Sus scrofa: one gene and its partners. The protein of the gene in region 1 interacts with the protein of each later gene in a pairwise test. Links are inferred from orthologs where the notes say so. Each region holds a gene or a part of one and is shown in the gene's direction. Other genes may lie near its edges. The genes, in order: CCDC184, PIN1, PBLD, STX11, GPANK1 and RPL9.

Region 1 (5,086 bases):
TCTAGTTTTCCTACTGTTCTTTTTCGGGTAAAGTCTTTTTGTGAATACCAGTTCAATTCAGCTGTGCCTAGGGAAATCAAGGAAACGCATTTCCGTTTTCTTCTGAGCTTTAGGAATAACTTATTGGGGCACACAGTAGAGGTGGGAGTGATAACTAAGGTGAGAGTCACAAATTTGTGGAATGAAGGAAGGACAGAATGAGCAAGCAAATAGGATTGAATCTTAGAAAATGCAATACTGAAGGTTTAAATACTGAAGGTTTAAAAACAAAAAAATATTTGTTTTGAGAAGTTGAATTTCTAATGGCTGCATAATACTTTGTTATACCAATAATGCCTTAGATTAAACATTCTGCTGTTTAGGATATTTCCCCATTTTAATAGCAGTAAGACATGGAATAAGCTAAACAGCTCTTTACAGTTTCTCTGGGCCAGCCCCACTCCTCATCACCAGAGAATGCAACAAAGGTAACACATTTGCTATCACTGAACCACTAGTATATGAAACACTTACCCATACCTAGCTCTTCCCCATCTTGAAGTGATACAGCTTTTCTCTTCTCCAGGTTTATTTCTTGTGAATTTCATTTTGGTTTCTGACCACTTGGCTTTTCCAATGTACTGAGGTCATTATTAGTTAGTATGCTGCTGCCCAGGTGCTGTTGTCTTCTCAGTCGAAGTCATCTGTAAATGTATTAAATTTAATTGTTCTTCCTCCTCCCTGCTTCCCACTCCACTCTTCAAAAAGGGCAATGCATTGTTACAAAGGTTGAGACACTCAGTGCATGTCTGTACATGGGTGCAGGGCCTGCTGAGAAGGAATTAAGGGTACATAGTCCCCTCATTCATCCCTTCCACACATTGTCAACAGTTCACACTTTCATCTGTAAGCTGATGCAAAGTGTTACTCAGAGTTAGAAATAATGTTACTCAATATTATGAGTAACTCAATGATGTTACTCAATACAATAATGTTACTCCATACCCAGTCCAATCCCCTAACAGATCAGGAAAGTGATTTACTCAAGGTCTCTGAATTAATAAATGACAGAAACGAAATTGCACTCAGGTTCCTAAAATCCACTACTTGTGAGCTAGAGAGTTCTGGATGAAGGTATGGTACACAGCAGTTCTTGTAAAGTATTCATTCAACAAACATATTGAGCATTATTTACTACGCCCCAGGTACTATTTTAGGTGCTGGGGATTCCGTGCTAGAGGACACAGAGGAGACAGAAATCTCTGCTCTTAACGCAGCTGTCTTTCTCAAAACTGAAGCGCTTTGCCTCACCACCCTAGAACTCCCAGTGCCCTGGGTAGAAGCGGCTGGGTCTCATATGGGAGGGAATCCCATCTTTTCTCAGCTCCTGAACTATCTACGGCGAGGGCTGATTTATTGCAGAAACAAAACGAAGTGGCGGAAACCTCTGTAGTGACAGCCTGCGCCTCCGCACCGCTAAGGCTGGCGGGGCCGGCTCCAAAGCGGCGCAGCGCTCCAACTCAAGTCTGGGATTAATAGCATCGGCCTCACTATCCTCTCTGTTTTCCTGCTGGAGGACAAAGAAGCAGACCTGGCTCTAGCGCCATCCTCAGAGAAAAGATTGCGGGCGAGTGAAAATCCTTCCAAGGCAGTAGCGCTCAGTGTCTACCACCCAGGCCAGGAGAGGGACTACGTCTCCCCCGACCTGGGGACTTAGGCAGCAAACTGCTCTCTCATGCTTCCCTATTAAACACTGCGGCCACACGCTCTTTCAGCCTCAGCTGAAGCCTCTGCAGCATCCCCACCCTACCCGCCCCCACCCGCTAGCTGAGACTCTAGAGCCCCACTGCAGCTTCCCAGCCATCCTCCCTTTTCTTTTCCACTTCCTGGTTGCCATGGAGACACACGTCATTTACGTGCCGTGCGTCGCCTTGGAAACAGAGGAGCATCCGTGGCGCGGCTGGGAGACCCGCCCCGTCACTCCAACCACACTCGCGAGCCAGCTGGTTATGACTGGGGGGAGTCCCGAGCTCGACCCTTTGCTGGCCTCGGCCTCGACCTGGGTCCCACCACAGGCGCTTCTGTGACCCCGGGAAAGGGCGACTACTTGCCGTCCTTAGCGCCCAGAGGGCGGCGCTGATTCGGGTGCAATTCGGGAGGCGAGGCAGGGCAGGGAGCGTTCGCCCCTGTGCGAGCCGGAGAGACGCCGGCCCTGGGACTGTAACCGGGTCCGCGTCCCGCCGGCTCTTCCCGGCCTGCCCCGATCCTGCCTGTGCCCTCTGCCCGGGACTCACCTCCTCACGTCGGCTCCCCGCCCCTCTCAAGAGTCTCCTCTTTCCTCGGCTCCTCCCCGCCCTCTGGGCACCTCTCCCCCTCCCCGTACCCTCCCCCACCCCGAGGCCGGGCTGGACCGGACCCGGAGCAGCCATCACCCGCTTCTGCCATTCAATGGAGGACGGTCTGCTGGAGATCATGACCAAGGACGGCGGAGACATGCCCGCACCTCTGGAGGTGTCCACCGTGCCGGCGGTGGGGGACGTGATCTCCGGGGAGTACAACGGCGGCATGAAGGAACTGATGGAGCACCTGAAAGCCCAGCTGCAGGCCCTGTTTGAGGACGTGAGGGCCATGCGGGGGGCCCTGGACGAGCAGGCCTCGCACATCCAGGTGCTCTCGGACGACGTGTGCGCCAACCAGCGAGCCATCGTCTCCATGTGCCGGATTATGACCACCGCGCCCCGCCAGGGTGGCCTGGGCGTGGTCGGCGGCAAGGGGAGCTTCCCCGGCGCCCCCCAAGAGCGGGAGACCCCTTCGCTTGGGATCGGGGACAGCGGTTTGCTGGGTCGCGATCCTGAAGACGAGGAGGACGACGATGAAGAGGAGAAGGAGATGCCCAGCTCCGCCACACCCACTAGTCACTGTGAGCGCCCCGAGAGCCCCTGTGCTGGCCACCTTGGGGGGGACGGGCCACTTGTGGAGCCCCTCGATCTGCCCGACATTACCCTGCTGCAGCTGGAGGCCGAGGCCTCTCTGTGAGGGGACTCCGAGGGGGCTCTATTTTCCCGGACTGGCTTTGGGTTTCCGAGTGCATGACGTGAGGGGACTGAACGGCGCGGTGCAACATGCTTCACGCTGCTCTTGTTGGTCAAGCAGAAGAGACTCCCTCGAGGAAGGATTTATAGGGTAAAGGACTTTGGGAGCATCAAGAATTCTTTCTGCCCAACCAAGCGAGATGCAGCAAACTGCGGAAAGGTGAGATTCCGGGAGAGGAAGCGCCCATCTCTGGACTCCCATCCAATCCCCTACCCTGCCCTTTTCCCCTCCCCAGCCAACAGGAGAACCCCTGAACTGTGTAAATAAAATTCTGCTTTTCTATTCTGAAAAAGGACTTATCTAGGACTATGGCAAATAATCTCTAACGATTTACCTAGAAGTTAAGGAATTGAGGGTATTCTGTTCTGGCAACAGAAAATTTACCCTTCTGATGAAATCCAAGCTATTCAGCGTTCTGCAGAAGCCTCTCCCCCTCACAGATCTCTGCGGCTGCTGATTGGTAAAGGAAGCTTGAGGAGGGAACTGCAGCCCTAGGAAACTGGGTGAATGGGGTTCCAAGGGCCCCTGGGCTGGGAGGAGCTGGCTATGAATGTACATGAAGACATAATAGCTCAACATCTAGGATTTTGCATGCAGAGCGGATCCTGCCTTGTCACTGACTTCATCTGGGATTGTTTTATCCATTCACTGGGGCTTAGAGAACAAAGAGCCCAGTTCACAGGCACAGACTTGAGGGTGCTCAGCAACAGCCCAGATTTAGGGGACATTTGAGGGACTCTTGGGGGCTGCAGCCAAAAACTGTCTCTCTCCTGGCTATACCCGCTTAACTTCAGTTCCTTTTCCTGTCAATACGTCCCTGCCCGCCGCCTCTCGGTGTTACCTCCATAATGTCTTGTGTGTGTTATGTGTGTCGACCTGTGTAGTAGTGTGTGAGCCCTGAGGGGCAGGGCTTGTGGCTCTGGTGTTAGGTTCAGGGGGCTTCAGACCCTTCTGTGAGCCCCAGGCTCTCATGGCGCTGTCCCCTTTCCTCTCCTCTTTTCCTCCACAACCAGGGCATGGAGCATGTGGCTGTCCTGAGGTTCCTAACTGATGCGCCTCCCTCCCACCTCCTCAAGTGGTGACTTTGTGTGCCCTTCCTCCTCCTCTGTGTATTCCTTCTCGATGCTTTCCTTGGTGTTAACCTGAATAAAGAGGCGTCATCTCCCCTCCTTGCTGACTGGTACTAAGGCAATGTCAGGGTGGGGCTTCTGGACCCACTGCATGGACAAAGACTTAGTGGGAACTATAGGAACCAGGCTTTCCCTCCTCTATTCTCGCCTCGGGTTCCAAGGAGTTGACTGTCCTTACCCTGGTCGGTATATGCATTGCCAACTCTACCTGCTTTCCCTTCCATCCTGGACCTTGACTTCAAGCTGGACTGAAGAGGGAGAGGGTATGTTTTGAGACTCCCAAACTAACAAGGATTTTTAGTAGCTAGACTCCAGACATTCAGTTGACTTCTCTTCAGTGAAGCACTTGGCCTCTGGGATATGATTTCCAAATCTGAGACCTGCAATGGTAGGCAGACATCTGTTCCATGGGAGGGCTAGGGAGGGGGATTGCTCATGAGGGATTGCCCTGGGATCTCTGGCAATAGTGACACATCACAAAGGAAACACAATAACTGCCTCAGGCCTCTAGTGGAGAATGCCGGTAAGGTGTTCCCCGGAGCTTATAGTGACATCAACTCTAGTCTGCTCCCTTGGGCATTGGAGATTTCCGAAGACTTCCCTGAACAAAATTTGGGAGAAGAATGAGCTGGGGTGCCGCACGTGCGTGCGTGCGTGCGTGCGTGCGTGTGTGTGTGTGTGTGTGTGTGTGTGTGTTCTTCCTGCTGCTTGCTACAGAGAGATGGAAAGAGCTCTGGGACTGAATCTCAGTTCCAGCAGTAAATGACTGCTTGAGACTTGGTCTCTTGCTTGAGACTTAGTTTCTGCTTGTGTAAAATGGGGACAAAATTTGTTGGGGAGAAAAATATCTAAGCCCCTCGGGAAGTTTTGTGCAAATGTTAGTT
Region 2 (4,884 bases), on another chromosome or scaffold:
CGCAGGGTGGATGATTCTTTATTGTGGAGGTTGTGCATTGTAGGATGTTCAGCAACATCCTCTGCCTGTATCCACTAGATGCAAGTAGCATCTCTCTTCTTTCATTTGTGACAACCAAAAAGATCTTAAGACATTTTCAAATGTCCTCTAGAGAACAAAATCACCCCTGGTGGAGAACCTCTGTTCTATTATGTAAGAAGCTAATATAAGGGAAGGCTGGGTGAAGGGCATTGAACAGTTTTTTACAGTTCTGCCCTAAGTCTAAAATTATCTGTAAAAAAAGGAATATTATTATTATGCTAATATGTGCTTGTAAAAAAGAATCAAAATGTTACATTAGAGCTTAAGTTAGTCATTAATATATTTGAATGAATCCAGAAATTTTCTGTGATATAAAACTGCAGTTTTTACACAACTAAGTATGCATACTCTAATAACATTCATACCGTTCAGCAGCTTGCTTTTTAAGGCCTTTTTAAAGCTTTGATATCTTTCTGTAAGTGATGTCATTCTTTCAAATTAACCTTTATTTGCTGAATTTTTTTTTTTTTGGTTTTGTTATGCTTTCATACATTCTATAATTGCTACACTGTACAATGACTTTTTTTTCCACTGAGCAGCATATATCCTTGCTAAGACCAGATACTGCTTTTGAGTGCTTTATATAGATTATTAACTCATTTAATCTTTATATCAAAGGTATTTACGATATGTATTATCTCTTAAACTCATTTCACAGATGGAGAAGCTGAAGTGCAGAGGTTAAGTAATTTGTTCAAGGTAATAGCAAATGGTAGAGCTAGGCTTTGAACCCAAAGCAATCTGACTCCTGAATGCTCTTAACCTACAGCATCCTACCTCTGTAATTTGTCATAGACGTGTTCCTCTGCGTTTCATGTCACTGAGCCTCATTCTTTTCAGCGGTTACGTAAGTGCCTGTGCTATAGATGAACTGTAAGTGAACTCTTCCCTGTTGGTGTTTTGACTCCCATGTTTGTCTCCAGCCCTAGGTCTCCAACCACCTCCTTGGTGTGTCCCACATGTGCCAGACTTAAGTTTAAACTGACTCAAAACTGAGTTCCTCATCTTCCCACCTGCACCTTCCCCCTTGTCCCCATCTGAATGGCAATGCCAACACCTACCAGTCACCCAGGATGGAGACAGGAGCCAGACTGTGAGGGAATAAGTGAAGTAAAGTAGATTCTAAAGGAAGTGGAAGGTGTCTAGGTAAGTAGCATAGGGAAAGAGACTTACACAAAACTAAAAGGAGGTGGGCTAGCTTTGGGCATGTGGAAGGAACAGGTGGGAAGAGGGAGGGTGGAGAAGCCAAATTTAGGCTTCTGGGTTCTTAGCTGTTCATCACCAAGGTAACTGGGTTGCTATGGTAACAGCAAAGGCAGCGTGCCTTTTCCAAGAACCTCCTCTGCGGCGGTTACCCTCACACCAGCCAGGCACTTCCACGTGGGGGCGCCGGCTGGGGGTAGGCTTAAGAAGGCGGGAATTGCTGCGGCATTGGCCAATCGAATGGGCTCTGCAGCGAAGGACGCAAAGGCGGGGTCGAAACTTCTTTGAAGTTCGCCAAAGGGCGTTATTAGGCGGGCTCAGGTCCTTTTCCCACCACTTAGGGGCCGAGGAAAGGGGGAGGGCGGGGCTTGGGTGAGGCCCTCAAGAAGGCCCAGCCCTGGTGAAATATGTGAAGCTCCGCCTATTCCTTCTTCTGCTCAATAGGAAGCCAGAGAGTCAATCCGGACAGTTAGGGTTCCCAATGAGTGTCGTCGCCATGCCCCGGGGCGTGACGGGGCCAGCCAATCGGCGGCGGTGGTGGGCGGGCACGGGCGGCAGAGGCGGTGCGGCGGAGGTGGAGCGGGCTCTGCCGCAGGAGGGAAGATGGCGGACGAAGAGAAACTGCCACCCGGCTGGGAGAAGCGCATGAGCCGCAGCTCAGGTGCAGCGGGGGTCGGGGCTGGGGCGGGGCCGTGTGGGCCCATGGAAGCAGGGCTCTAGCTTGTCCCTCGGACGCGGGCGGCCGCTCGATTCCCGTGGGGTCTTGGCTCCTTCGCGTTGTCCCTGGGTAACGGCCCCGGCCCTCCCCGGGGCTGCGAGCCTGAGGAGCTGGGAACCCGAGGAAATTGAGGCAAGGGACTGGGTCGGAGAGGCCCGGCGCGCTGCCTGGGTGGTAGGGGGACAGTGTACCCGCGGCGCTCCCCCAGGCAATGGCCTTGGTCCTGCCGATCTTGCTGACATCTTTCAGCCTAATGCACCTGACATCCGGCGGGGGTGGGGGGGGATGTCTTTGCACCCTGCTGGGCCCAAGGGGCACCCCTGGGGAAGGACACCCCAACACCATGCTCAGGGCGTGGCCCCAGGGTGTTGCTTGGCTTCGAATCCTAAACCTCCTGCTAACGTGCCTGCCATCCACACCGAATTCTGAGTTTGCTATAATGTGAGAATTCAGGTTATCTGCCTGAGAATAGTCTCTGTGCTCGGAGCCGATTAGGGCTTTTCCCCCATAATAATGTTAATAATAGGTCTTATCTCAGTGCCAAGTATTGTGCTAAGGGTGTTAAGTGTGTACTCTGGCCACAACTCTGAGAGGTAGGGTAGTTAATAACACCCAGTTTGCCGGTGAGGAAACCGAGGCCAGAAAACTTAAGAAACTCGCCCATAGTCGTTCATTTCAGGGGCTGGGGGCTGGGTTAGATACCAGTCTAACTCCAGAGCCCCCTGCCCTTGTTACTGTAAACCTCTGAGATGCAGGCCCACCATTTCACTCCCCTGCCTCCATAGCTCATAATCATCATGGTCACAGTAATAATTCCAATTTATTGAACGCCAGGAGCTCTGTCGAGCACTTTGCACTCATCATGATGGACTCTCCACATTAACCCCATGAAGTGTTATATCTTTATTCTCTCACCTTGCCCTCACTTTTCAGATGAGTACACTCAGGTTCAGGGAGATGGAACCCATTGCCAAGGTTTTAGAGGCATTGTTTGGCTCAGCTCTGGCCCACCCTGCTTGCAGCCCTGTGGCTGGGACCTGCAGCAAAAAAGCTGATGCTCTTCTCAGTTCTGGGCCTCCACTCCTGCCATTTCTGCTCAGCTCAACCCTGACAGTCTTCCTCCTGGGTGACATCCAGCCCTTCACGGTCTTGGGCAGAAGTCCTCCATATAACCCAGACAAACTCGGCCCCTGGAATGACAGCCTATCTCTACTGGGTCCTACTTTAAGTTTCTTTCTTTTTTTTCCTTAGATAAGAAGTAGATTTATTGATACAGTGTGGGCCGTCTCAGAAGGTGAGAGCAGCCTGGAAGATGCACATTCTTTAGACAGAATATTATCTCAAAAGGCCAGAGAGTGGCCTCAGGTTTCTTGTTTGCAGCCCTCACTCCATGCTCCTTAGTCTCTGGGTAACATCTGGCCCCCAGTAATGCTGGCCCCTAGTTCTGCTGCACAGTGCACTCCAGAGGGGAAAAGAGCAGAGTTTTGGCATCTGGCACACCTGAGTACAGATCCTGCTATCTCCCCCACCACACCCCACCCCCGGCTTTTATGCCTGGAGCAGAGTAAATACCCAGGGAAGGTTGCTTAGTTTTGTGGTCTATAACATGGAGATATTAGTAGCTGCCACAGTCTTTTTTTTTTTTTTTTTTTTTTGTCTTTTTAGGGCCATACCCATGGCATATGGAAGTTCCCTGGCTTGGGGTCAAATTGGAGCTACAGCTGCTAGCCTATGCCACAGCCACAGCAATGCTATATCTGACCCACATTTGTGACCTACACCACAGCTCACGGCACCGCTGGATCCTTAACCCACTGAGCGAGGCCAGGGATCAAGTTCTCATGGATGCTAGTCTGCTTCATTAGCGCTGAGCTATGACGGGAACTCCTCCTACACTCTTAATTAAGTGTGCCAGGTGCTGTCCTAAGTACTTTGCAGATGTGAATTCATACAGTCACTCCTTCAGGCAGGTACTGTCCTTATTTTCATTTTATAGGCGAGAAAACCACGGCCCCGGGAAGGTAGATCACATGTGAGGGTGTGGTGGAGCCACAGATTTGGACCGGCCTTGCTGAATGCATGCTTGGAACCATTCTCTGTCCCTGAGGCTTCCTCTCTTCCTAACCTTCAGTTATTTTCCCCCTTGAACTTTTTTTTTTTTTTTTTTTTTTTTTGGTGGTGAAAGAAAGTGTAGCATTTATTGTAAGGCAGTACAAGTAGTCTGAGACTAGCTAGTGCTCAAAAATCCTGCACTCCCCCCTTGACCTTATTAATGACTGAAGTTGTAAGGTGGTCTCATTTGCTTCTTTGGTGTCTGTGTCCCCAGCTAGAATGCTAGCTCCCTAAGGCCTGGTGGCACTGGGGACTTGCTGAATGAAAGGTAGTTCGTCAGCCAGCCCCTGATCATGGCTTCCCAGTGGTGTCCTGTGAGCAGGTCCCAGCTGAATTCCACTTCCACCTCTTCCAGGCCGGGTGTACTACTTCAATCACATCACTAATGCCAGCCAGTGGGAGCGGCCAAGTGGCAACAGCAGTGGCGGCAGCAAAAATGGACAAGGAGAGCCCACCAGGGTCCGCTGTTCGCATCTGCTGGTCAAGCACAGCCAGTCCCGGCGGCCCTCATCCTGGCGGCAGGAGAAGATCACCCGGACTAAGGAGGAGGCTCTGGAGCTGATCAACGGTAAGCAGGGATGGAGACAGGGCTGGGGGGGTCCCTCTCCCCCCGGGGGCCAGAGCAGGCCTTGTAGGAATCATGCCAGGCTCACCAGCTCAGCTGTCAGGTGGGGCCTTGGCTGACCTGAAAATGCCTGCTCATGGCATGAGTCTGGCTCACATGGCTGCCCCTTCTTTTCCTGTCCAGCAGGTAATTGATGGTGAGTCAG
Region 3 (4,377 bases), on another chromosome or scaffold:
TCATTTTAATATCTATTCTCTGATCTAAACCTAGAAATCATGAGGAATCAAGTGAAAAAAAAAAAAAAAAAACCTCACTTAAATTTCTTTTGGCACCAAAAACCTGGAATGTGGGCTTGGTGGAAAAATTGGCCTTTTGTCAAAGTTCCCTAGCTTTCCTTGCATGTGTGTCTTAGGAGGAAGGAGATATTTTCTCTTGAAAGATGCAGACGGATTTATGTGAAGACCTTGAGTCTCCTACTATGGGCTGACAATGAACTGGCAGACCAGACAAGAATGAAAACCTGCAATTTAATTCAGTCTTCAGAAGGTATTAGACACAGCGGATACATCTTTGGAAGGAGCTTATCCACAAATTCTTTCTTCCTTTCTATTTCCATTCATAATTCCACACTCTTTTGTGGTCACAGCCAACATAATGGCTAAGTCGTCTGCGGTCAAGCTGGAGAGTTGGTTGATTGTGAATATACCACAAGGTTACCCCTGTTTTCTTTGGGATTGTACTATAACTTTTCACTTCTTTTAAGGGTCTGCGCATACTGTTCTCAGCAGCTACTGGTCCCAGCACCTGGGGAAGAAAGACATGCATGGTAAGATAGCTCTTTTTCAAATTAAAAAAAATTTTTTGCTTAACTTTAAGCTAGTATTCCTTCTCATATGTACTGCGCACTTGAAGATGTAATAAAATATTAACTATCACCCACATGAAAGCAAAAAGTTTTTAATTCCTTCACTCTGAACCTTCTACTCAAAACATCCTCCACCCCAAACATCTTCCACCTCTGTCTCTCCCAACACACAGACACACTTCTAATACAGTAAGTGCCCAATAAATATTTGTTGAATAAGGTTAACTGGCTGTGTAATTTTGGCCCGGAAAGGTTATTTGTTTATTTATTTATTTGGCAGTGCCCGAGGCATGCAGAAGTTCCTGGGCCAGGGATCAAACCCAAGCCATAGCAGTGAAAACACCAGATCCTTAACCCACTGAGCCACCAAGGAACTCCCAGAAAGACTGTTTATAATGTGACAAGCCGAGACTGAATGATTACCAAGGTTCCTTACTGACATTGGTAGTTATGGGATTAAATCAAGCAAATTGCTTTGGAACCAAGTCTCCTAGTGATTAATGTATCATTCAAGGCAGAGAAAATAGATGGCAGCCAATGGTGGCTACACAGCTAGTAGCCTGTATGTGGTACAAGTTACATAATCAAAGTGGGAGTTTGACCTTAAAGAATGGGGGTCTTACTTAGTGGGCTGGTTAAGCCTCTGTGACCCTGATTTGGGGATAGCAGGGTGGCTGTTTTCTTCCTTTCTTCCTTCCTTCCTTCCTTTCTTTGTCTTTTTAGGGCTGAACCCTTTGCATATGGAGGTTCCCAGGCTAGGGTTCGAATAGGGGCTGTAGCCGATGGCCTATGCCACAGCCACAGCAATAGGATGTCCGAGCTGCATCTGTGACCTACACCAATGCCAGATCCTTAACTCACTGAGTGAGGCCAGGGATTGAACCTATGTCCTCATGGATGCTAGTCAGATTCCTTTCCACTGAGCCATAGCAGGAACTCTGGCTGTTCTCTTTCTTTAATGAGCCTTATCACTCCCCTAAGCTCCCAGAAGGCTGAAGCTGTGCATTATGTTTGCCTCACCCATGTGGTTGTTTGATAACAACCATGAGTGAATGAACTCCCTTTGTCCTATTCAGACCTGGGAAGATGGGGTCCTCTCTGTAGCGCCAAGAGCACCCCCCTTTATCTTCTGAGACTTTTAGTCCTAGCCTTTATCTTTTCACATGTCTTTGCTTATTGCTAGGCAGAGCCAAGGAGGAAACTATGGGTGGGGTGTGTTTGGGGCATTATAGAAACTTATAGAAGAAGTGGCCCAGGGAGGGAAGATGTGGAGTTGTATTTTGCTGATCAAATCTCATGTGTGGCTTCTCAGTCCTCAAAACAGGATGGGCTAGGCAATACCATGAGCAAATGAAGGGGTACATTCTTTAAAAAATTTTTTTAATGAATTGATTTTTATTGAGATAACATTGATTTTATGTTTTATGTGTAGATTGTATTTCTGCTTTTGTCTACCCTACAATATGCTCACCACCAAAAATCTATTATCAGACCTTTACTGTACAGTTGATCCCCTTTATCCATTTTGATCCCCCTGCCCTTCCTTGCCCCTTCCCCTCTGGTAACCACTCTCTGTTCTCTGTATCTATGTATTTCTGTTTGGCTTGTTGATTTATTTGGTTTTTGTTTGCTTTTTAACAGCTGTGCCTGCAACATATGAAGGCTCCCAGGCTAAAGGTCTAACTGGAACTGCAGCTGCCAGCTTACGCCACAGCCACAGCAACGCCAGACCCAATCCGCGTCTGCAGCCTCCATAGCAGCTCACAACAATGCTGGCTTCTTAACCTGCTGAGTGAGGCCAGGGGTCGAACCTGCATCCTCATGGATACTAGTCAGGTTCATTACCGCGGAACCATAATCGGAACATCCGTGGTGCCTGTTTGATCCTGGAAACTTCCATGTGCCACGGGTGTGGCAAAAAAAGTAAAAGGTGAAAACAGTCTTAATTTGTGAATCATTTTATGTTTTTTTTTTTTTTTAGCTTTTCAGTGTTCCAGCCGGGGAGGAGAACTGAAGATTTCACTGCGTCCTGATGGACGAGTGGACATCAAGGGAGGCGCTGCTCTGGTTTTAGAGGGCACGCTGACAGCCTAGAGGTGGTTGTGCTGTGATATTGCTATCTTAAATTACTAAGTATTTTCAGCTTAAGGGGCTGCCTTAAGCAAGCTTGCATGGTAGTCTAGTTAATCCACATTGCAAAGAGAATGATGAAGACATGTTAATGGAGATTTAATAATGCTTCCTGAATGATTAACTAATGGAGTTTGGCTCTACTTGTGAGTGTATTTGAAATGTAAGTACCCAGTAACCAAGAATAATATTGTACCCAGTACCCAAGAATAATATCGTCACCTTTGCTTATGATCACCCCTCCTGGAATGAGGAACAAATATATGAGGAACAAGATCGAACCATTTAAGCTTAGGTGTGAATACTTGATAGACTATTTTGCAGCCTATTTTTAAAAAGGTCCCTTAGGACTGGTGGCCTAGTGGGTTAAAGACCCAGCATTGTTTCTGCTGTGACTTGATTCACTGCTGTGGCATGAGTTCGATCCCTGGCCTGGCAACTTCCACATGCCTTGGGCGTGTCCAAAAAAGAAAAACATCCCAAAACTATGTGGAAATATAGAAAAATATTTCATGGTATAATACCAAGAAAGAAAACTACGGTAGACTATTAAATGTTAGCAACGTTATGCTGTGTCTGTGGAGGATATGAATTTCTATGGGCGAGGATGGAACATGAAGATACAAAAGTGAAAAGAGTTCATGTGTATCTGGGGGGTAAGATTGGAAGTAATTTTAAGGTATTTAAAAAATCATTTCCTTTACTGGGAACACACTCATGTTTAATAAATAAAAATCAAGATGTAACTAAATAAATAAAAAGCCAAGAAAATGAAAAACTATATGTGTATTAGAGTAGTAGTAAAGCTAAACATGGAAAGTAATAACTTGCCTCTTCTCAAGTTCTTTTCAGGGTGGGAATCCCCCTTGCTGTCGCTCCCAAGGATTCTGAAAGCTAGGTGCCCAGCTGGGATTGAACTCCCAGCCTGTGGGTCAGATCTGCTGCTCAGTAGTCTGACATGGTTGGTAAAAAGCAATTTGCTGCCTCCTGTGTAGAAGACACGGTGCTGAAAGCTGGAAGGGTGGAGAGCTGGCAGGGGCAGGCTGCAAAGGAGATTAGAGAGGGAGCGAGCTTATAGGGCCCTCAAGGAGCTCTAACTGGGGAACCAGGCTCCTCCTTTCATGAAAAGATAATGAGCACTTGCACCCATCTGTGGTTCAGGCGTACGTACAGCAGACACTGGGGTGCTATGGCACACTCAGGGGGTTGCTAAAGACAGGGCTTCAAAAGACTGGGGCGTGGGTGAGACTTCAGACATGAGGGCTCAAGGCATGCCTGGGTTTAGTCTAGAGTTTCTACACCTTTTTATTTATTTATTTATTTATTTATTTATTTTTTCTATTATAGTCGATTTACAATGTTCTGTCAATTTCTGCTGTATAGAGTTTCTGCATCTTGAAAGTAGATAGGTTCTATGGGGCAGAGAGAAATAAAAGAAAGTAATTATTAATATAGTTGAAAAGATAGCACGTAAGCACAAGGATAGATAAATAATTCTGAAAGCTGTTCTTGTCTTTTTAGTGTCTATATCTAATTAATATCTATAGAAAGGACATAGGAATTATGGTGATTGTGAGTGGTCCCCAGTGTATGAGAAAAAGAGAACAGGGGTTCTCCA
Region 4 (3,353 bases), on another chromosome or scaffold:
GTTGGCCCCAAAGCCTTGTAAATTGGCTGTCCATATTCAACAATCATTATCTTTGCCAGTCTTCTCTTCTTATTTTTCCTTTCGCTGATGTGTTTTGATTTGCGATTATGAAGCATGTAAAGGAAGAAAAAGAGTTGGGTTCCCAAAGCACTCTAAAATTTGAAATTGCTGATTGTATTCTGGGCACCTCTACTATTGAACTGCAGATTCCTACCTACCAGCTGTAAAATACAAATGTGTTCATGACTCTTAGTCACATTAGTCCTTTATACTCATAAGAAAAATGTCATGGGACATTTAACTCCTTTACCGCGTTTATTACCTATACCCAAGAGTAAAGAATCTGGAGTGCTAAGCAGTAAGCAGAATGTTTATTTTAATCTTCAATTCCCTCAACGCAAAATATTTGACTCTCCCTAGAGGAATTTAACCTCAGTATCTCTACTTGCAGGCAAAATGAAGGACCGGCTAGTAGAACTTTTGGAGTTAACCAAGCACTATGACCAGCAGTTCCCAGAAAAGGACGATGACTTTGACTCACCTCACGAGGACATCGTGTTTGAGACGGACCACATCCTGGAATCCTTGTACCGAGACATCCAGGAGCTTCAGGATGAAAACCAGCAGCTGTTTACTGACGTGAAGCGGCTGGGAAAGCAGAACGCCCGCTTCCTCACGTCCATGCGGCGTCTCAGCAGCATCAAGCGTGACACCAACTCGATTGCCAAGGACATCAAGGCCCGGGGTGAGAGCATCCACCGCAAGCTGAGCGCCATGAAGGCGCTGAGCGAGGAGGCGCAGGCAAAGCACGGTGAGCACTCGGCTGTGGCGCGCATCGCGCAGGCGCAGTACAGCGCGCTCGCCCGCACCTTCCAGGCTGCCATGCACGAGTACAACCAGGCCGAGATGAAGCAGCGCGAAAACTGTAAGATCCGCATCCAGCGCCAGCTGGAGATCATGGGCAAGGATGTCTCGAGCAACCAGATAGAGGACATGTTCGAACAAGGCAAATGGGACGTGTTCTCCGAGAACCTGCTGGCTGATGTGAAGGGCGCGCGGGCGGCCCTCAATGAGATCGAGAACCGCCACCGCGAGATGCTGCGGCTGGAGAGCCGCATCCGCGACCTGCATGACCTCTTCCTGCAGATGGCCATGCTGGTGGAGCAGCAGGCTGACACCTTGGACGTCATCGAGTTCAACGTGCAGAAGACCCTTGACTACACCGGCCAGGCCAAGGTGCAGGTGCGCAAGGCGGTGCAGTACAAAAAGAAGAATCCCTGCCGGACCATCTGCTGCTTCTGCTGCCCCTGCCTGAACTAGCAGGCCTGCAACACCTGATCCCAGACCTGAAAGGGCTAGTAAGCACCCTGGGAAAGATGTTGAGGCCATTTGCACTGGGATGAGTTGCTCTAATGCCTATGGACCTCGCTCTTTAGAGAAAGAAAACACTCAAGGTCCAAGAATTCCAGCCCAGCTCGAACTTGGAAAGAGGGTACATGTCACCCCATTGTTTCTTCAGTAAGGACAGATACCTCCTGAAATTTTGTGAGATCATTATATGGCACATAAACACCCTCGCCTCTTAACGGAAGCCAAATGAGGAACTGACATTGTAGTGTACTCTACGGTAAATGTCCAAGGCACGTTTGCTCATGAACCTCTAGGAGGAAGTCAAATTGTGCATCAGCCCATTGTGTAAGGACTGGTTATTAAAACTTCAATTCATTTACCCTGTCCTGAAAGTACCTTGGTTCTATTCATTTTCGAGTGAAATTGACCTTGGGAAAAACTGCACATCTTCCTTTTCTTACTCTTTATCTGGTTTATGCTATGTGATTCCCACATGGATGTGTATCTTCTTTCTGCTCACCTCCTCTACTTGTTTAAATCACAAGTATCACTGTTTCCTCAACTCTTTATATTCTATCAGAATATATTTGGAGATTTTTTTCCAAATGTTTTTAAGCACTGAGTATTGAACAAGCACTCAAATTAAAGTTTGTATGTCACATTATATATATTTTTCATAAATAAAAATAATTTAAAATTTCTTTTTACTTGATTTTTACAAATGCATATATATATAAATGTAAAGTACAAATATTTACTAATGCATGTACATAATACCAATTGGTTTAACTTTACTTTTGTAAATATGGTATATAAATATCCAGGAAAATATTTTTACTGGTTATTAGTGTTGATTTGCTTGTTTCATCTGCATCTCAGTAGTCCAGTTTGGGTCAAAACTTGGTTTTGAACATCTCTGTCTTGGTTATGGTGATAAAGACAGATAAAATTCTGAAAATGCATACAAAACTAGAGATAATAAAAATGGTCTTAAAAGTAATTACTTTTGTTTTACTGTGGCCCATTCCTTTCATGCATTCAAATGTGGTAATTTAAAATAAAAGAATCCTGTTTTTCAAGTTAGTGGAATAAACACATTATAAACATCCTTTTTTATGCATTTGTGTCTTGACCATTTAAATCTTAGTCTACTTTTTCAATTATTGTCTACTAGCTGCCTGAGGTTGCAACATCTGGATGAAACTCTGAATAGAGGGGGGAAATGAAAATTAATTCACATGGGGGTGTGTTGCTTTCTCTCCTGAGTTATTTACAATAGTTTAACAAAATCATCCTGTTTTGGAGATCTGGTTTTGTTTGCAAACTTTGTAATGCCCTGACTCACATTTACCATGTTTTCTGTCTTTAAGTCAACTCTTAACTCTTTCCACTCGCTATTTAATAAACGAGAGTTTATTCAATGGTCGTTATTCCCAGAGTTTTCAGACAGTGAAACTTTAATAGAAATAGAAAGAAGAGTATGTGAACTCTTTGGAACTCACTGACTAGCCTGCTTATGACTGTGAAATCTAGCCCTGCTCCTAATTTTAATTTCATGGTTAAATATGAGAATTGTGGAAACCAAGTCCCACTAGGCTTTTCTCAGATTTCTCTCATTTCTTTCTCAGCTAATTCCAGAGATGTGTTTCACCTTTGACTTAATTCCCTTTCTCTAAAAAAAAATCTTCAAACAGATTCATTGCTCTGTCTTTGATAAGAGGCAAGAGATTTTGTAAATATAGTCCATCAGCTAGTTTCCACAAAAGAGAATAGTTGATGAATTCAACCCATAAAGCATTTTCTGCATTTAGAGCCATTCATAAAAGTCAAAGAGTTTGCTGGCTCTGTGTATTTTTTAATTGCCCACATTTCTCATTGGAGAATTAGGTAAAAACTTTAATATACCAGAATTAGTGAACTGTTGGCTATGAAAAGGCAAGAATTTTTCTTCCTGCTTTTTAGTAACTATCAGGTGTGGCATAGCAATTAAGAACACAAAATCA
Region 5 (5,066 bases), on another chromosome or scaffold:
CCCCCGCCTCCAAAAAAAAAAAAAAAAAAAAAAATCCTGTCCCCATTCCTGCTTCCCATCTCTAAGAGTCAGTTTTGGCCTCTCCTTAGGGGCAGCTGGCTTGCTGAGGAAGGTGGAGGCTGAACAGCTTGGGTTCTGAAGGCGCTCACAATCCCTTATGTTAACACACAGCTCTGCACGTTACAAAACATTTTAACGTGAGGTGTCTTAATTCTCCTAATAGCTACCAGAAACAGGTGCTACCGGTAGCACTGTGGTAATAAAAACATGGGTTGATGAGTCCAACATTACATTGCTGGAGGGTGGCAGGGTCAACCTGAGGCCCAGTCTTGCCTTCAGTATGAGTTAGTGAGAGAATTACTAAGGAGACTCTTTCTTAACGTGAAAGGGTTTTTACGGAAGACTGTAAAACAAGTATCTAGAAACTGAATATATACTATGCGAGAGAATGCCTGGCCAGATTATATGTGGAAAGGGACAAGGAGGTTAAGAACTCACTTCACAGAAGAATTCATTGCCACGGAGCCCACAGAACCAGGAAATCCAGGACACCTCCTCTGAGCTGCTCATCTTCACTTCAGCTAGAAAAAGAAGAGTGTCAGCCTAAGCTCTCCTCCCTGCCTCTGATATCCTCCCTCTTCCCACACTTTGCCCTCCAACCACAGAAGAATTTAGGGCCACCCTTTCTTAAAGGATCCTAGACTGGAGCAGTTCTCTCCAGCTCCTCCTATTCACACCTCAACCCCTTTTTTCAGAGACAGGAAATTCTCTGGGGTCCCAACACTTGTGTGTAACCGGCAGGTCTTGACCCATTAGTCCTATCCACATCCCTAACGCTCCCCAAGGCCAGGCCCCTCTCTCCTCTATGTCAACTCCAGCAGGGCCTGCGGCTCAGATTCCCTACCCCCGCAAGTCTCCGTTTGTCCCCGGCCCCATTCCCAAGGTTTCCGAAGTTTCTTTCCAGGCAAGAGCTAAGCTCCTCTTTTTCTCAAAGTCTGGGGATGGCAGTTAGGTCCCTTTCACGGGAGTCTCCTTATCCCGCCTCCATCCTTCAGACCACCCCCTCCTTCCTTCGGTCCCGGACCTGGTCACTTCCTTCCCCACCCCCACATCAAGGCACGGAGACCCCTTGTGCCGCGCCCAGGAACAGGGGACGCGGCGCGGCAACGACCTCAGACTCACCGGCTGGACGGGGACTGGGACCGGGGGGGCGGGGAGGGGAGGGGAGTTTCTGCTTCCAAGGAACCGCGGCGACGGCTACAACGCAGGCCGCGGATCCAACCGCGGCAGGCGAAGTGGGGCGGGGGGAGTGGAAACTGGGGAGGGTGGGGAAGAGGGCAACGCGCAAGCGCTTAAAATCGTGCGCCGCGGTGAACGCCGGGAGATGGAGTCCTCGGAAGCTAGAAACTGGCGCAACTGAGAAAGGGCGAACTACGAATCCCAGGACGACCCGCCCACGACCCTGGTGTCGCGAGGCCCCTGAGGGAAACGCTCCGGGGCGGGGCGTAGGGAGCCGCCACCGGAAGCGGAAACGCAGTACCGTGTTCTGGGCCAGGGAGCCTGGGAAATATAGTCGAGTGATCTTATCACCGTGGGGCTGAGAGGGGGCGGGGAAAGGAACAAGACAGGCTGGATCATTTACTGCCGCTCCCTCTCACACAACGAGCCTCAGGCGTGCGGCCCTGCTACCCAGACCATTGACCTCATCACCGACCAGCTGCCTGGCCCTTATCGCTTGTGGAGCCCCCCTGTCCGAGTCAGCCTGCCAAGGAGACCCTCAACGGGGCCCATATTTCACTCAAGGGTTTGATCTCCTGAGGTGGGAGGTGAGGCCGGGTTCCGCGCTGAGGGACCTGGGTAGGGTGTGCTGGCTGAGCTGAGAGGTGTGAGAATCGGGAAGGTCCCGTGCGCTAACCTGAGGTGGCGCCAGCCATTCTGTTGCTCGTCCCCTTGCACTTCTCCATTTCCTTTTAAGGCTTGAACAGGGCCTTCTGCTGCGGGTGCTAAGTGCGACCTTCCAACCCTGGTCAGATTAATGGTGAGGGGCTGCGTGACTATTTCATTTCACGGCTTCTGGGCATTCTCCGCCTCAGGGCCTTTCTTAACCCAGAGGGTGGTTTCCCAGGTCCAGAAAATGAGCTTGGAGCGGGGGCCACGTTGAGGGAGGCGAAGAGCATTGTGGGGGCGTTAGGTAAAAGCAGGACCCCAACCGACAGATATTTCTCGATCCTCGCGCTACCAGGGCACGTGGCGTTTTGCGCTTGTGTTATTGGAAAGATTCCAGGGCGGGAAATAGCCCGGAGCAGCGCGCCTGCGTGCTCCAGTATTGTTTTTGTTTGTCCCCCGCCCGCTCCCCATTCAGCTGCGCATGCGGCTTTGACTGTGGACGCCTTTGCTTAGAGTAGCGCCATTTTGCAGTACGGAAGCTGCAAAGCAACGAGTGGAACCTCCCCGCGAATCGGCTTCCTGCTTCCGGACAAATGTCAAGTCTGTTTTTGTTTAAGAATACCCCGAAATAGGATCCAGGAAGATTTAAAGAGCCAGGCTGATTGTTTTCCTTAATGGTATGTCCCGCGCAGTTGTAAAGTAGTTTCAGAGAAAGGCTGTTATTATTGATGGTGAGGATGGAGTGGGGGCAGAGCACAGGACTTCTGGGCAACTGTCTTACAGAGTCTACTTTGTTAACCTTTACTAAGGGGCATGGTCTGTTACCATAGGGTTTCCTATTTTTACACAATCCGTGGTCCTCGGGGTTCACTTTCCGCGTAGGAGGGTTTTTGTTTGTTTTTGTCTTTAGGGCTGCACCGGTGGCATATGGAGGCTCCCAGGCTAGAAATGGAATTGGAGCTACAGCTGCTGGCCTACACCACAGCCACAGCAACGCAGGATCCAGCCGTGTCTGCAACCTACACCACAGCTCACAGCAACGCCGGATCCTTAACCCACTGATCTGAGGCCAGGGATCGAATCTAATCAGGTTTGTTAACCACTGAGCCACGAAGGGAACTCCCGGGAGGGGATTTTTGATTCTAAGGATACTTGTTTTTATCCCAGCAGGTGTCTGTAGGTGATTCTGGTCATTGCAGGACCATCTGGGACTTGGCTTCCCCCTGCCTAATCTCATTTTCCCAACTCTCCCCAAAGCCATGTCCGGGTCCTCCCTCATTAACTTTACCCCAGCCACTGACCCCAGTGATCTCTGGAAAGATGGGCAACTGCAGTCACACCCTGAAGAGCTGGAGCCCACCCTGGATGGGGCTGCAGCCCGGGCTTTCTATGAAGCTTTGATTGGGGACGAGGACAGCACCCCTGAGCCCCAGAGATCTCAGCCTGAGCCTGCTAGAAAGAGGAAGAAAAGACGAACGATGAGGGAGACTACAGCAGGAGCATCAGGAGAAGATGGACAAAGGAGATCCCTTGAGGCAGAGGACAAGATGACCCAGCAGATACTGAGGGCAGCCCAGGAGGGGGACCTGGCAAAACTGAAAAAGCTGTTGGATCCCCATGAGGCAGGGGGAGCTGGAGGGAATATCAACGCTCGAGATGCTTTCTGGTGGACCCCACTGATGTGTGCTGCCCGAGCAGGCCAGGGGGCAGCTGTGCGCTATCTCCTGGGCCGTGGGGCGGCCTGGGTGGGGGTCTGCGAGCTGGGTGGCAGGGATGCTGCTCAGCTGGCGGAAGAAGCAGGCTTCCCTGAAGTGGCCCGCATGGTCAGAGAGAGCCCCGGAGAGACAAGGAGTCCAGAGAACCGGTAAGGGGAAGCCTTATCTTTCATTGTGTTCTGCCCTTCCTCACACTTCACACAGGAGGCCACAGAATAGAGCCAAAGGGTTTACTTTCCTGTTCCCTAATGTAGGCTGATCGGGCAGTGTGATTATGAACAGGATACTCCCTTGGATTATTTTTTATATAAAACATTTTTTTCATTAAAAAAAAAATTGGGGTAGTTCCCATTGCGGCTCAGTGGTAACAAACCCAACTAGTATCCATGAGGACGAGGGTTCAGTCCCTGACCTCAGTGGGTTAAGATCTTGGCATTGTCGTGTGGTGTAGATCTCACATGAGGCTCGGATCTCACATGGCTGTGGTTGTAGCATAGGCCAGCAGCTACAGCTCTGATTTGGCCCCTAGTCTGGGGACTTCCACATGCCGCAGGTGTGGCCCTAAAAAAGACAAAAAAAATTTTAAGTTTTTTAATTGAAGTATAGTTCACGTATATTTGCTATATTCCCACATTGCATGGGCTCCTTGGGTTTAAATCCTGACTGTACTTACGTGGGCAAGCAACCTAACCCATGTGCCTCAGTTTCCTCATCTAAGAAATGGAGCAATAAAAGCACCTTTCTCTTAGGGTTGTTAGGGTCAAATAGGTTAATATATGTAAAGTGCTAGAAAAGCACCTGTCCCATACTAAGCACTATACCAACACTAGCTATGGTCACTATTGTTATTTTTCATCACCCAAGAACTTTGTGAAGCCTTTTTAACATCTGTTGGCTCAACTATTCCCTTTTGGGTCTCTTATCATGAAGTGGGGAGGAAGGCAATTTGTTCCTCAGCAGAAATACAGGAAGGACCTAACCCTGCCACCCTCCTGAGGCCTCAATCCTTGTGTTGCCCTTAACCATTCTTTTTTCTTTGCAGGCCCCGATCCCTCTCCCCCCAGTACTGTGAGACCTGTGATGCCCACTTCCAAGACTCTAACCACCGTACATCCACCGCTCACCTGCTCTCACTGTCCCGGGATCTCCAGCCCCCCAACCTGCCCCTTGGGGTGCCTACCTCCAGCCCAGGCTTTAAGCTTCTCCTAAGGGGGGGTTGGGAGCCTGGAAAGGGACTGGGACCCCAAGGTCAAGGCCGTGCCAACCCCATCCCCACTGTCCTCAAAAGGGACCAGGAAGGATTAGGCTATAGATCAGCAGCCCAACCCCGAGTTACACATTTCTCAGCTTGGGATACACGGGCGGTGGCAGGGAGGGAGAGAGTCCCTAGATTGACCACACTGAACCAGAAGGAGAAGAGAAGGCAGGAGGAGAAGGACAGAGCCTGGGAGCGGGATCTGAGGA
Region 6 (5,173 bases), on another chromosome or scaffold:
GCTTCATCACAAACTTTCTCACCATTCTTTTAAATTATCCATAGATCACATGTACACTGACTAGGAGAAGCAACAAGCTAGATCATCAACGTCCTGTAACAACGAAAAACTTATTAAAATCTAATGGAGTAGTAGCAAGGTGATTATCTTTGCTCTCAGAAGAAACTGGTTGCTAGATGGCAAATTGGAGAGGGTGTAGGATGGCTAAGTCCTAAGAATGTTGGAGAAAAACTGTCAGAGGGCACGAAGAAAAGTACTCCAACAATTTCACCCATTTACCTGCTCCATGTCTGCTTTCACTTCTTTCTAATGGTTTTTAAATAATTTTAAATCAAATAAGTCTGATTAAAAATATACCCTATGGCTTGGTAATATCAGAAAATAATGCACAATGAAGGAATAGGACATTAAAATTACCTCAAAATTTCAATTACCTTTCTCCTTTCTGGCGTTTTAGGTTTCCTTTATAGTCATCCCAGGTGCTCTTGTCTGCAAGATCACCAGATAGAAAATCTTGAAGGTCTGGTCCATTCTGTAAAAATTCCTTTTTTTTATCTGGCAAGGAACTTATTGCTCTGACTGGACTGCATAAATATCTTCCAAATACCTACAGAAAGAGTTCATTGTGACATTTATTTAGGGGGCTTTGGAATAACTTAGTATTAAACTCGTTTAATACCTAAAAGGATGGGTAAAGCCACAGAACTGATTCAGAAATTATGTTAATCTATTTACGAGCTCAATGTAAGGAGCTCAGAATCTGAAATTAAAGATGACCCAAGGAGAACAAACCAAACCCAAAGGAGAATGGGAGCTACAGCTTTGAATTTTCTATTCCTGACTTGAGTCAAGTATGTTTAAATGAAATTTGAAATTAATCTCTCTGCTTTGGGCTTGAATAAGAATACCTGCTAAAACACGGAGGTAGTTCTCAGCTGATTTCAGAGAAGTGGAAGAAGGGAAACTAAACCTAATGTTTTAATTTTCTTGGTTATACTGTGTGTGAACAAGGAAGTCACTCATGTATTTGTTGACCATAAGAAGCCATCGGTTTCTAGATTTGAACACATACATGTACAAGACAGACAAAACACCATAAAATTCAAGAGGTAGTACTGTTAAAGCAAAAGAACCTTCAACTATTAAAAAAAAAAAAAAAAAAAAAAAAGAGTGCCTATTAGGATGCTGCACGATAGCTACTGTACTTGCCCAGGTCTCTCGCTCAAGCCTGGAGCACAGACTTGGGTTTTAATCGCCCAAAGTGGTGTCTAGTACACAGGAGACACCAACACCAAGTAGTAATTTGGAGTTTCATTGCAGCGCTTCTATAGTGCTCCAATAAATACAAGAGTACAAATCATTGCATTGATAGCAGGAAAAAAGGTCTCAGAGCGCGGGCCACAGACTTACAAAAAAACCAGTATCAGGTCTTAACTTCATGACCATGTCAGAATTAAATGAGACGCTATACGAAAAATGTTTAGAACAGTACCTGGCTAGAAGTAAACGCCGGGTAAGCGCTGGCATTATCGGGCACTTTCAGGGATGGGAACCCCCACCCCACGCCCGCTCCCTTTTCGCCCCGCCGCTCACCCGGGGGCATACAGTGCGGACGGCGCCCCGGCAGCGTAGAGCCATCCTGCACTTTTTTTTTCTGGCAGGGAGGAACAATCACTAATTCCCGGGAAAAGAGAAGGACACACCGTCGCTCCACTTATGACAAACAACCTGAGCCAACACTGACCCGGTGGAACCTGCGCTGCTCTACGATTGGCTGCTTTAGCCTCGTGGTGTCGCGCGCTTATGACGCCATACGCAGGACCCTTACGTACTACAAAAGCGTGATGACGAAAGACGCTCTCTCTTTGCCGCATCTACTGCGAGGTAAGGTGGATTCTGTATTCGGTGGGCCTTGGGAATCTGAAGGCATCGGCTTTGGGAAAGCCAGAGGTGCGGGTGTGGCCCTCGGAAACCGTGTCTTGTTTGTCTCCCTGCGCGGCGAGCGTCATATGAGTCTGGTGGCGATGGGGTTCGAGCCTTGTATTGGGCTTTTAGGCCTACTGCCGCCCTTCAGCCTTGCCGGGATGGCGCCGACTTGATAGGACTTCCCAGAGCTGCGCTGACCGGGAGTTCGCCCGCTGGGTTTTTAATAACTGTTTAGGAGCTGCTCCTTCCAAGCCAAGGCGCAGCTGGGGCCGTTTCCGGGATTAGTCCTCTGTATCCTCCCCGAGATTTTTGCCTGCCGGTCTCTGGTAGGAGTGGAGTTCTGTGCAAGGTAGTTCGGCCCAAAACAAATCCTGTGCGACCTTCTTACCCAAGTGTTTGTGTTTCAGAATGAAGACCATTCTCAGCAATCAGACTGTCGACATTCCAGAAAATGGTAGGAGACTTGGTGCTTGCTTTTTTCATATGTTTTTACTGCGTGCGTTCTAATTTGTTTCGATGCCTCACGAGTATGTTTCTTTCATAGTCGACATCACACTAAAAGGACGCACAGTCATTGTGAAGGGCCCCAGAGGCACTCTGAGGAGGGACTTCAACCACATCAATGTAGAACTCAGTCTCCTTGGAAAGAAAAAGAAGAGGGTGAGTTTTGTTTAATCACCTCAGTTTGTTTGGAAAGTTGTAATTTAAGAATATCAAGTTGTTTTAAAAACTACAGAATTGAGCAGCAACATGGATGGAATAGAGACTCATACCAAGTGAGGTACGTTAGAGAAAGACATACCATTTGATGGATAATTTTTTCTCTGGAGTCTAACAGCACCAAAGAATTTACCTACAGAAAAGAAACTCTTGGACTTGGGGAACAGACTATTGGTTCTAGTCTGTTCTAGTCTAGGCGGAGGGAGTGGGATGGACTGGGAGTTTGGGGTTAGTAGATGCAAACATTGCATTTGGAGTGGATAAGCAATGAGATCCTGCTGTACAGCATAGGGAACTACAGTCACTTGTGATGGAACATGAAGGAGGATAATGTGAGAAAAGGAATGAATATTTATATGTATGAATGAGTGACTTTAAAGCAGAAGTTGATGGAATGTTGTAAGTCAACCATAATAGAAGAAATAAAAACTTTTGAGAAATTATGGAATTGAGGTTCAATGTTTTATCTTATAATTTAGTGTCCAAAATTGTAACTAGTTTTTTTTTTTGTTGTCGGTGCTTTAGTGAAATTGGAAAACCAAAGTAAACTGGGTTATAAACCTCAGTACTGGTAATATTTATTAAATAGCAGGCCTTAATACTGTTAGAAATTGGGTTTATTTTTCTTGATTGTTTTGTAAGGATCATAGTGGTGCAGCAGAGTTCTTTTGAACCTGGTATTTTAGCTTTCCAGAAGTGAAGTTTGATGCAACTTGTACAAAACTTTCTGGGTTGTTCCTCTGTGAAAGTGTATACTTCTAATGTATAGTAACAAAAACCGTTAATTGCTGAGGGCTTTGTGGTTGCTTTTTTTTTTTGTAATTAGGACAAATACTAGAATCTAGAGTAATTACTGTGGATAAATGGACCTTATTTCAAGGCTACTTAATACTGGAAAGAATTTTCTGAAGTTTTTGTTCTGTTACAGCTCCGGGTTGACAAATGGTGGGGAAATAGAAAGGAACTGGCAACTGTTCGCACCATCTGTAGTCATGTACAGAATATGATCAAGGGTGTTACACTGGTAAGCAGATTAATCAGACTTCTTGTCTTAGAAGGGGGAGGTTTGTCAGCTATCTTTATGTATGCAACATAAATGTCTATTGTAGAAAATACTTTGTGCGAGTAACTTATACTTGCATATAACTTAGCGGCTGTAGTATTTTGGAAAAGGTGATCTTGGCAAATGTGTTAGGTATTCCTGGGTCTTATGATAAAGGGAGATACATAAGTCTAGACCAGATGGTCTTGATAATACGCTGATTATATATATATTTGTTTTACCCGAAAGATAACATTCACAATTTCAGGGGGGTTTTTAATAGAAAATGTTAACACATAGAATGGTTGGTTTCTTGTCTTATGCCTCTCACCACCAGGGTATCTTGTGGGAATTAGGGAAAGATTAAGTCTTATTTCTGAGCTTTCAGTCTTTAAGGTAAAGTTGATTCTGGATATTTGCTGGAGTGTTTCTGTTTCAGCCTTTCTAGAGCGCAATCTGATAGCGGCACCCTGTACGCAACTCCATTATAAGCCTTTCAGGCCATGTCTCCCCTTGTGTTTCCAGTCTTTGTTTGCGGGGGGCGGCGGTGGTGTCTTGATATTCTCAATTCTGGCCCTCTGGCATACCATAGTAATTCAGTATGTTAGCCTAATGCCCAAGATGAAGGGCTTTAGAGTTATACTTTAATAGGAGGCTAGCATTGTTCACCACGGGCAAAGGAGGTAGTAAAATATCTGCTTCCTTAGGAGCTTTGCAGTCCATTGAGGAGACAGAAACAAATGTATTTAAAATTGTTCTGAGGGAGTTCCCTTTGTGATTCAGCAGTTACAGACCGAACTAGTGTCCATGAGGATGTGGGTTCTATCCCTGGCCTTGCTCAGTGGGTTAAGGATCTGGCGTTGCTGTGGCTGTGGTGTAGACTGGCAGGTGCAGCCATAAAAAGCAAAAAATAAATAAAATTGCTGTGAAGCTTTGGTGTGGGTGATAGTTTAAAAAAATGACAATGATGGGAGTTCCCGTCGTGGCTCAGTGGTTAACCATGAGGTTGTGGGTTCTATCCCTGGCCTTGCTCAGTGGGTTAAGGATCTGGCATTGCCAAGAGCTGTAGTGTAGGTTGCAGACTCGGCTCAGATCTCGTGTTGCTGTGGCTCTGGCATAGACTGGCAGCTACAGCTCCAATTAGACCCCTAGCCTGGGAACCCCATATGCCGTGGGAGCAGCCCTAGAAAAAGCAAAAATAGACCAAAAAAAAAAAAAAAAAAAAAAGACAACGAATGCTATGTGAGGAAGAGAAATCAAAGTTTAATAATGTGTATGCAACGGAGAGAACCAGGGAAACTGAGTGAGTGCTGAAATGGCTGATCCTGATCCCTTACCTTAAATAAGATCAGCTAATGATAAAAAGTGGAGAGGTTACTGTGAATAGCACAGGTGCAGAGTTAACTCTCCATTGGTAATTTCCAGGTATTTCCTTGTCTTTGTCCAGGTGCAGAGAGGCAGACAACCTAACAGATATAAATGTTT

The links.
Region 2: the proteins of CCDC184 (region 1) and PIN1 interact in binary tests that used the Homo sapiens proteins (3 or more experiments, as listed by UniProt). The two-hybrid records come from large-scale screens. The link is inferred for Sus scrofa from reciprocal best matches to the Homo sapiens genes CCDC184 and PIN1.
Region 3: the proteins of CCDC184 (region 1) and PBLD interact in binary tests that used the Homo sapiens proteins (3 or more experiments, as listed by UniProt). The two-hybrid records come from large-scale screens. The link is inferred for Sus scrofa from reciprocal best matches to the Homo sapiens genes CCDC184 and PBLD.
Region 4: the proteins of CCDC184 (region 1) and STX11 interact in binary tests that used the Homo sapiens proteins (3 or more experiments, as listed by UniProt). The two-hybrid records come from large-scale screens. The link is inferred for Sus scrofa from reciprocal best matches to the Homo sapiens genes CCDC184 and STX11.
Region 5: the proteins of CCDC184 (region 1) and GPANK1 interact in binary tests that used the Homo sapiens proteins (3 or more experiments, as listed by UniProt). The two-hybrid records come from large-scale screens. The link is inferred for Sus scrofa from reciprocal best matches to the Homo sapiens genes CCDC184 and GPANK1.
Region 6: the proteins of CCDC184 (region 1) and RPL9 interact in binary tests that used the Homo sapiens proteins (3 or more experiments, as listed by UniProt). The two-hybrid records come from large-scale screens. The link is inferred for Sus scrofa from reciprocal best matches to the Homo sapiens genes CCDC184 and RPL9.

The regions. Positions count from the first base shown.
Region 1 is NC_010447.5:78,559,273-78,564,358, forward strand, and holds CCDC184 (coiled-coil domain-containing protein 184), read left to right. Parts: upstream 1-1,899; 5' UTR 1,900-2,427; coding exon 2,428-3,015; 3' UTR 3,016-4,241; downstream 4,242-5,086.
Region 2 is NC_010444.4:68,714,066-68,718,949, forward strand, and holds the start of PIN1 (peptidyl-prolyl cis-trans isomerase NIMA-interacting 1), read left to right. Parts: upstream 1-1,832; 5' UTR 1,833-1,887; coding exon 1,888-1,945; intron 1,946-4,469; coding exon 4,470-4,682; intron 4,683-4,884. UniProt on the Homo sapiens protein: Peptidyl-prolyl cis/trans isomerase (PPIase) that binds to and isomerizes specific phosphorylated Ser/Thr-Pro (pSer/Thr-Pro) motifs.
Region 3 is NC_010456.5:71,442,055-71,446,431, reverse strand, and holds the end of PBLD (phenazine biosynthesis-like domain-containing protein), read left to right. Parts: intron 1-527; coding exon 528-590; intron 591-2,610; coding exon 2,611-2,723; 3' UTR 2,724-3,582; downstream 3,583-4,377.
Region 4 is NC_010443.5:21,126,979-21,130,331, reverse strand, and holds the end of STX11 (syntaxin-11), read left to right. Parts: intron 1-451; coding exon 452-1,320; 3' UTR 1,321-2,461; downstream 2,462-3,353. UniProt on the Homo sapiens protein: SNARE that acts to regulate protein transport between late endosomes and the trans-Golgi network.
Region 5 is NC_010449.5:23,777,319-23,782,384, reverse strand, and holds the start of GPANK1 (G patch domain and ankyrin repeat-containing protein 1), read left to right. Parts: upstream 1-2,038; 5' UTR 2,039-2,564; exon of another isoform or gene 2,565-2,977; intron 2,978-3,054; exon of another isoform or gene 3,055-3,057; 5' UTR 3,058-3,146; coding exon 3,147-3,751; intron 3,752-4,644; coding exon 4,645-5,066.
Region 6 is NC_010450.4:30,695,878-30,701,050, reverse strand, and holds the start of RPL9 (60S ribosomal protein L9), read left to right. Parts: upstream 1-1,861; 5' UTR 1,862-1,884; exon of another isoform or gene 1,885-1,950; intron 1,951-2,333; 5' UTR 2,334-2,334; coding exon 2,335-2,380; intron 2,381-2,470; coding exon 2,471-2,586; intron 2,587-3,574; coding exon 3,575-3,670; intron 3,671-4,927; exon of another isoform or gene 4,928-5,173. Other genes in the region: LIAS (lipoyl synthase, mitochondrial), read right to left, coding at 435-607, 1,493-1,603.